2 linked regions of the Ovis aries genome follow. The protein of the gene in region 1 interacts with the protein of each later gene in a biochemical or structural test. Links are inferred from orthologs where the notes say so. Each region holds a gene or a part of one and is shown on either strand. Other genes may lie near its edges.

Evidence for each region.
Region 2: the proteins of NGF (region 1) and NGFR form a complex in vitro, tested with the Homo sapiens proteins (2 studies listed by BioGRID and IntAct, with this or other methods). The link is inferred for Ovis aries from reciprocal best matches to the Homo sapiens genes NGF and NGFR.

Annotation. Positions count from the first base shown.
Region 1 is NC_056054.1:92,707,044-92,711,538, reverse strand, and holds the start of NGF (beta-nerve growth factor), read left to right. Parts: upstream 1-1,695; 5' UTR 1,696-1,791; intron 1,792-1,911; exon of another isoform or gene 1,912-1,944; intron 1,945-4,495. UniProt on the Homo sapiens protein: Nerve growth factor is important for the development and maintenance of the sympathetic and sensory nervous systems.
Region 2 is NC_056064.1:36,834,890-36,838,692, forward strand, and holds part of NGFR (tumor necrosis factor receptor superfamily member 16), read right to left. Parts: intron 2,429-3,803; coding exon 2,287-2,428; intron 1-2,286. UniProt on the Homo sapiens protein: Low affinity receptor which can bind to NGF, BDNF, NTF3, and NTF4. Forms a heterodimeric receptor with SORCS2 that binds the precursor forms of NGF, BDNF and NTF3 with high affinity, and has much lower affinity for mature NGF and BDNF.

The sequences.
Region 1 (4,495 bases):
CTCACCTCCTAGGTGTGTTCCTCTACCAGTTTGTATCTGAACAACTGAAGTGGATAAGCCTTTGCTGGGAAATAACGAGGTCATATCAGAGCTGAAGCTCCCTTCCAAGCCTGAGGCTTTCTTCCTACCTCATCCCTCTCAGGTCAATGGGTAAACCTAGGTATGGGGGCAAAGACAAAAACAGAAAGAAGTGGTGACCTCAGATCGATCTGTGTCAAGTGCCAAAGCAGAGCCTCCCCTTGTTCAAGTGCCCTCCACTGGGGAAACAAGGGCCACCTCTGTACTCAGAGCAGGAATCCCTATGCCTCACTAAGTCTGGCCCCCGTGGGTGACCTTCACATTGATTGCGGTGGCATGGCTTCACCCATAAAGGGAGACTCTGTCTCTCCCTCTCTCTCTCCTCACATGCCTTCCTCCCTTGTGGTATCAGGTAGAGTAGGGGTTCAGCATTCAATTTGCTCAAGAAAGAACTGAAGAAACACGTCTCCAAGCTCAACACCAGAGGAGTTGGTGGAATGAATTTCCAAAGACATATGAATCCCCCAGAACACTATTAAATTAATGATGCACATTTAGTGGGAATCTGACTTTGGGGATATTTCTGCCTTGCCAGTATGGGTCATGGGTCAGACATGCTTCCCCCGTCAAGCTCTGACTGCACAGAACCCAAGAAATCTTGGAGGGTGATCCAGGAGATCCCATCCCACAGAAAGCACAGATGGTGGAGGAAAAGAAGAATTTGGGTAAGGCTTGGGGTGGGGTGGAAGGCTGTCTTCCTAGGTCAGTTTAGTCACAAAACTCTTGCAACATAGATGAAAGCTGTGCATCCTCTATCCAGAAAAATGCAGGCATCACACACAGACCAACATGACTACAACTTCAGAAGGATCGATCGGGCTTCCCTGGTGGTGCAGAGGTTAAAGCGTCTGCCTGCAATGTGGGAGACCTGGTTTCGATCCTTGGGTCGGGAAGATCCCCTGGAGAAGGAAATGGCAACCCACTCCAGTATTCTCCCATGGACGGAGGAGCTTGGTGGGCTACAGTCCACGGGTCGCAAAGAGTCGGACACCACTGAGCCACTTCACTTCACTTCACTTCACTTCAGAAGGATCAGGGACTCCAGGAAGGAAGTTTCCTGAGTCAGGGCCTTTAGTGAAGCCTCTGATTCTAGGTCCTGATGCCTAAGCACTCTGCACCTTTTCTCTACAGAGGACTTGCCCTTGCCCGCAAGGGTCTTCTAGGGGGATACGGTTCTCAGGGCCACAGCCCTCCCTTGTGTCAGAGAAGCCTCTGCACCTTCATCTTGCAGAGCTCCCCTGGGTGCGCTTTTTCTCCCAGGGTGACAGGAGGCGTCCCGGGAGAAAGGGGTCTCTGGACTTGTCTCTTGTGGCTGCCAGGAGCAGGAGGAGCAGAAGCCTAGGGCAGGGAAGGTGACGACCGACGGGGAAGGACACTCCCGCCGGGCTCCAGGCGCTGGCTGCAGGCAATGCTGAAGGAAAGCGTGGGGAGGTGGGGGGCGGGGAGGTGCGTGGTCAGCCGGGCAAATCCACCCTCCCCGAACTTGTCGGCCCGTGGGCGTCGGCAACCAGTACCCCAGCCTGGTGTCTCAGAAAATCCCCAGCCAGCCGGGTTCTGCGCGAGGCCCCTCCAACCGCGTGCGCTTCCTTTTGACCTCTGGAGGGTTGAACCCCTCCCAGGCCGGGTCCAGTCAGCCTTCCCGGGGCAAGATCGACCAACCTCTCTCGTCCCCAGGAGCCCCCGCTGGCGGGCACCTCCGCCTGGCCAGAGCAGGTGCGGGACTGGGGCCGGGGAGGGTTGGAGTGGGGGAAAGGATTTGGAGTGGGTGACTCAGGGAGGAGGGGCTAAGAATTCAAGAAGCTTGTGTTGAGCAGCTCGGCGCTCCGGCACAGCAGAGAGCGCTGGGAGCCGGAGGGGAGCGCAGCGGTGAGTCAGTCTGCCCCGAGCTCAGCCCGAGAGGGGTGCAGCGCGGGCACGGGCGCGGGCCGGCGTGGCTAGGCTCCAGGGGGAGGGTAGGCAGGGATCGCGGTCTGGCGAGATCTCCGGGCACCACCGCCCCAGAGGTCCCGCGGGCTGAAGTGCGGCGGTGAGAGGAGCGTCCCGAGTGGGTGCGGGAGCGCGGGAGCCTCTGCTGGCGGGCGAGTCGTGGGGAGTAGCGCTCTATCAGGTCGTGGAGTTTCCGATCTCCCGATGGATGGTCGGAAGTCCGGGAGGCAACCCGGGCGCCTGCAGTCGCGGCACCACGGTGCCAGAGACTAGCTCGAGGGTTAGAAGGGGGACAGCGCGCAAGCGAGGGAGAGTAAAGGAGCGGGGCGAGAGGGATGCGCGGGCTGTGAGCGCTCCAGGACAGCAAGAGCGGTGGTCTGCACCGCGGAGGGCGAATGCGCGGCGAGCGCGGGCTGCGGTGTGCGCCCAGTCTCGCGTGGGCTACGCTGTCCCCGGGACGCTGCTCCCAGGTATCGGGACGAACCCGGCAGGGGGTTCTGGACCTGGTGCAGCGAGTGGAGCAGGGTCGCTGGAGGGTTGGGAATCCTGAGTGATGGCTCCAGGGGATGATAGAGGAAGCCTGCTGATCAGCCTCCATGGAAGGTCCTGCTACGTGGGTCACACGCCTCACCTCCAGCTGTCTGCTGCCAGGTGTAGAAGTTGGCATGAAGGGGTGGGGCGGGCAGCGCCTTAGGTCCAGGCGGCAAAAACCCGGAGGAGGGAGAGACAGGACTTGGGGTCAAGGAGCGGCATCTTTGAGCAATCATAAACAAGCGGCTTCACTCAGATTACAACTCTCCTTTTGCTTTCCAAAAAATAAAAAATTCTGAGATTCTCATGGAAGGTGTTTTCTGCTTGAACTTTCTCTTCTCTAGTGACTTGAGAGATTTAAAAAGAGCGTGCTTGCTAGGCTGGTTTTTCCAAGTTGTTCCAGGTTGGAAGTTGTAACAGTTTGTCGGATAATTTATGGGTGTTTCATGCATTAAAGTGTATTACTGCAAAGCCTTTGGGTGCTATGGGTATTAAGGAAAACTTAGTGCACGTTCCCAGCTGGAAACCAAAATAGGACTCTCCTGGGTATCTCTGCCCCCTCTGTCATCTGAGGCCAATGGAAATCCTGGAGAAAAGGCACTTGATTAATTGTTCTGGCTCCATCCTCTGGGCGCACCCACTACAGTGCCAACCGCCCCCACCCCGTTCCCCACACATGCACGGCCAACTACATTCTTAAATTCAGAAAGGGCAGGGGCAGACCCACCAGTATCTTCTCTCCAGGGTCTTCAGACTCTTGAAGCAGTCGCTTGAGTCTGCCGGAGGGGACTGTTTCTCCTTTTCAGTGTGGTGCCGAAGGACGACGGCCGCTGGGCCCTGCCAGCCCTTCTTGCGCAGTGTTTGCTATTTCCTATCCAATGTCTGAAACTTTCCCCTTCTGAAGACCCACTGAACAAGGACTCCATTTGGTCAGGAAGGGTCTCTTTTGTGGCGAAGTCATAGGTCAGCCTGGGCAACCCGAATGTCAATCCACCACGGTCAGTGTTCCCGGACATTGAGGTAGCTGAGGACTGGGGTTGGAGGGTGAGTGAGAGCGGTCTGGGGTCTGAGGCTGGCCCTGCTGGTGTTGACTCAGAGAGGAAATGAATGTTGCTCAGACTCTGGTCCTTGAAGGGGGTTGGGATTAACATCACATGCCACCAAAATCCTCCCCAGGCTTTTGCCAATGTTTTTGTGCAGGTAGGGAAAAAGGGCAACCTTGAAGGGAAAAGTGTTAGGAGGCACCAAGGGAAATGGGGAACCACGGTCTCGGGGACTGGGGACACAGGTATGGATAGGACTGTAGAAGCATCTCAGAGGATTTTATAGCAGCTGCTAGCGCCATGCCATCCCTGGACAGCCATCTCACCCTAAAACTCCCCAGACCCACGAGAGAATTGGAAAATTGGCTCCACTCGGGGCAGCCATCCTAGTACTAGGGACTTCCCATATCCTTAACCTTTGTCCACAAGTGGGGTTCTCACCTTCTCCTACTTCCCACCACAGATCTACTCAACCTGGAGGGGCAGAAGGAGCAGGGAATGAGGCTTCACACGCTCCTCTTCCAGAGAAAAATCTGCGCAGTGTCCAGGAAGGGGGCCCCAGCTGCCGACATCAGCAGGGAGGGTAGGGCACGGCAGGGCAGGGCTGGAGCCCGAGGGAAGTTTCTCATCATTGCTGAGATTAAACTGATGAGAAAATCACACAACTTTCCTTTTAAATGAGTGCTGAGCACTTCGGCTGCACATTCATGGAGTGCCTTATTTCAGTGGCAACTCCACTGGAGCCACAGAAAATGACACTCTGCCCTCAGCAGGCGGTGGAAGGCTTGCTGAGGACTCATATAAAGTCTGGATATCTATGAGCAAACAACCCACGTTCCCAGAGGGTTTCTCTTTCTTTGACTGGCACCTCTGAACTTGCAAACCATCAACTAAACTGTCAGCTCCTAGGCTCAGCC
Region 2 (3,803 bases), on another chromosome or scaffold:
GTGGGGGTCCTATCTTAACCTTCTCTAACGGCATCCAGACACAAGATGGAGCACAGGGTCATTATCTTAGAGGTTGGGATTAGGGCTGGAGAAGCAAAGAAGGAAAAAAGCAGAGAGAAGTGAAAGGGGCAGCAGTTGGGAGAGGGGGGCGGGGTGGATGGAGAGAAGAAAAGATAGAGATGGGCCTGGAGGGAGCCTTCAGTTTCAACTCACTTCTGGCAGAGCAACTCCTGTGTTTCTCTTCCTAGGCATCGAGCAGATCTGGATTCAAAACCTGCTTCCATCACTTTATTAGCTGTGTGACTCTGGGTGTCTTACTTAACCTCTCTGAGCTTTTTTCTTTCTCTGTAAAACTGGGAATAATGTCTCCGTTCACAGGGTTTTGGTGAGGAATAAGTGAAATTCCACCATAAAGCACTTGACACACAGCAGGGATCCTGTAACAGTTGGGCCCCTGGGGTGGGCAATGACAAATTCAGTAGCAGGCACAGTCAAACAGAAAGGACTTCCAAACATAAACAGCAAAGGCAAGATGTCCAATTTATACAAGAAGCTCCTATCTCGTTGGCATGTGGCAGTGGGGTGGGTCTAGCCACATGGGAAGGGAAGGAGAGGGCCCTGCTTATGGGAAAATATAGAAAATTAGCAGCGAACTCCTAGGAGAGAGTTTTAGGGAGTGGGAAAAATGTGGTCTTTTTTGGCAGAGAATGAAGGCAGGAGCTTAATGGGTTTCCTTGTGGAAACGTTTTGAGGATAGAGGGAAAGTCCGCTGGGGTCTCCATCCCATAAAGTAGACTTTTAAAGGCAGCCTGTTAACACAGCTGGGGGAGGGCGGGAAATGTGAGAGAAGAAGAGGAAGGGAGGGGAGTGGAGGGAGCAAGTGGGATTTCTGAGCTCCCTCTCTGCTCCTGTCTCCCCTCCCCTTCCCTGGAGATGCCCTCTCTCAGCCTCCTGTATCCCAGCCCTTGCTTTGACAGAAGGATTAGGGTCCCATCCTGGGAGACTTACAGTCCAAAGAGAAAAGGTCCTGGGTGAGAGTCTAGGAAATGAGAGGAAAACATGGGAGATTCCAGGGCAAGTGTGATTGGCTAGTCCTGCCCTGGGATAGAAACCCTGTTAGGCTAGGGCCAGGGGAGGTACCCAGATGGCAAGGTAGCAAAGGGATGTCTAGCCTTCCCTACCTGGCATCCCTCTGCTGGGGGATGGAGTTACAGGATCCACAAGCACAGAAATAGGAAAGCTGTGTTTGGGACACCAAGGAGTTGGGGTTGCCTGAAGGAGGGATGCTGTGTGCAGTGTGGTGCCTGGAGGTGGTGGTGGTGGCAGCGGTGGCAAGACATTCAAGGTAAGACAAGCGGATCCAGAGTTCCCAGTTCCTATACCCTGGTCCCAACATGATTGAAGAACAATCTGAGTAGAGTTCCCACTGGCCCCCCGGGGGGCACGGAGTGTCAGGTAGAAGGCAGGACCTAACTGTCGACAGGAAAGGTTTCCAGACAGAGTCAGGAAAAGGGTTCATGGCCTGAAAGCAGCTGGTGGCGGGGGGCATCCATCAGAGATGAGACAAGGGCACAGAATTTCAGATCACAGACCCACCACCTCATCCAGCACCTCTGGAAGATGGGGTTCTCTCCCCTCCTCAAGGAAATCCCAGGTAGGAATGGCCACAGCGCCCCTCCCCGCTGATGCACCCAGCATCACTCCCCAGTAAGGACATCCTTGTAATGCTCCAACCCCCATCCCTGTAGCCTGGGGAAAACCCTGTTTCCTCTGTCAGGACTGGAGTACAGTTGCCCTGGAGAGCAGTGGTGGGGCAGGGTGGTGGTGGTGGTTGGGTAGTGGGAGGTGCTGGGGGCTGATGGGTGTTGGTAGCCACACCCTCCCAGGATCCCCCAAGGTCAGTCTCCAGGGTAGCTAGGATTTGATCCTCTTCCCCTCCCCCCAAATGCACCGAGGGTAAGTGGCAGCCATTGATTTTGCACAGCAGATGATATTTTTAGCTGATCTTAGCATCAGCTACTCCTCCCACCTAGCCACACTCTTCTACTAGGCCTCTCTACTTGGGGGCTGGGAACGGGCACCCCCTGGGCATCCCCCATCAGGCCCCCTTCTCCCTCTGCATACTTCCCTCATCCATAGACTCACTTATGGCACCCATGCGGCGGTGGGCAGGAGTTCCTGCCAGAACCCAGAGCGCCTGAAAGGCCTCTACTGGGCATGCCCGCCAGTCCCCTTGCTCTCCCTTCCATTCTGCTCTTCTTCCCCCACCAGACACTTTCTACTTACTGTCCAGGCAGGGTTCACACACGGTCTGGTTGGCTCCACAAGGCTGGGCCACACCCTCACCCAGGTTGCAGGCTTTGCAGCACTCTCCGCTGTGGGTGTACAGGCCCGTGGGGCACGCCTCCTTGGCACCTCCAAGGGACACCTGGATGGGGGAAGATCAGAAGGTCAGACTGGCAAGAGAAAGGGGACAGGATGTATTCTGAGGGAGCAAACACCCCTTCCTAAAGCCTTCTATTGGAACCACCTGGCCTGGGATGAGCTCACCAGGGAGGCTTTGGCATTTGAAAGCTGACAGGGAAGAAGGGCAGGGGGACAGCACACCCCTGCAAGCTGCTGGGTTGTGAGATCAGAGCCTCGGATGCTGACCTTCTGCAAAGTTCACCTTGGGGTTACAGTAACTCCTGGAATCCCAAGGATACACCATGTGGGGAAGGTAACCTGAGGACCAGCAGAGGGCCTTTGGGCGGCGGTCAGGAACCAGCAGCCAAGTTGCAGCTTGCTCAGGGCTCCCAGCCAAGGGGACAACTTGAAGCTGAAATCTAGCCCAAATGCCACTTGCTAAGCTGCACACCTGCGTCTACCCTGAGGAGAATCTTTTTCTAAGAAAGCCTAGCAGAGCTCTACTCTCAGTCCTTAATCCTACCATTCCATATATTAAGTATCAAATGGGAGGTGTCTGTACCCAAGAACAAAAGGCAGAGGGATGGGACCTTGGGTTCAAATCCTGACTCCACTCTGGGAATTCCGACCTGCTCATTTCTCTCAGAGTTTTCATCTCTCTGGACAGATAAGAGACGGAGACAGCTCAGGGCCAAAGCAAATGAACAGCCAATCATCAGGACTCTGGTGCCAAGACGGGGGGGGGGGGGGGGGGGGGGGAAGGGCGCCTGTTACCAATGAGAAAGTGGCTGCTCTCACCACCCAGCAGCCCTGCTCCCCCAGGGTTTGATTTCCAGCCACCAGCCCTTTCCTCCCTGCCCCCATACAGTCAGTGGGAACAACACTGCAAACAGCGGAAAGGGGAGTCAGATTCTTGCTGCCGAGGCATCTTTGCTCATGGATGGAATGATTTAGCACCAGATTCCCTAGAGGGAGGGGCTGCTGGCAGATTGCTTTATATTTCTGTTCCTTGAAAAAAATCTTAACGTCTAATAAAACTCCACAGCCTGTTTCCCTGGCTCTAGACCACGCAGTTCCCATTTGATACTCAGAGGAAGTATGGGCTCTTGGGTCATGGGACTAGAGAGGAGCCGTAAGGATCATTTGGGCATTCCTTGCTTCCACATTGGCCAGAATGGCTCCCAATACTCCTTTCCCTTCAGTCCTTTCAACTGTCCTGAGGTCTCACTAGGGTTCAGGGGAGGCAGGGGGATAGACAGGTTGGATCAGTCTAGGAGGCAGCCTGCAGTCCTCAAGAGACTGGTAGGGAGGGTACAGGCAGCACAGGAGGGGAACCTTGGGTGTTGCCACAGTCCATTCCCAGGTGGCAGGAACACAGTGCTGGGACCATCTGCAGA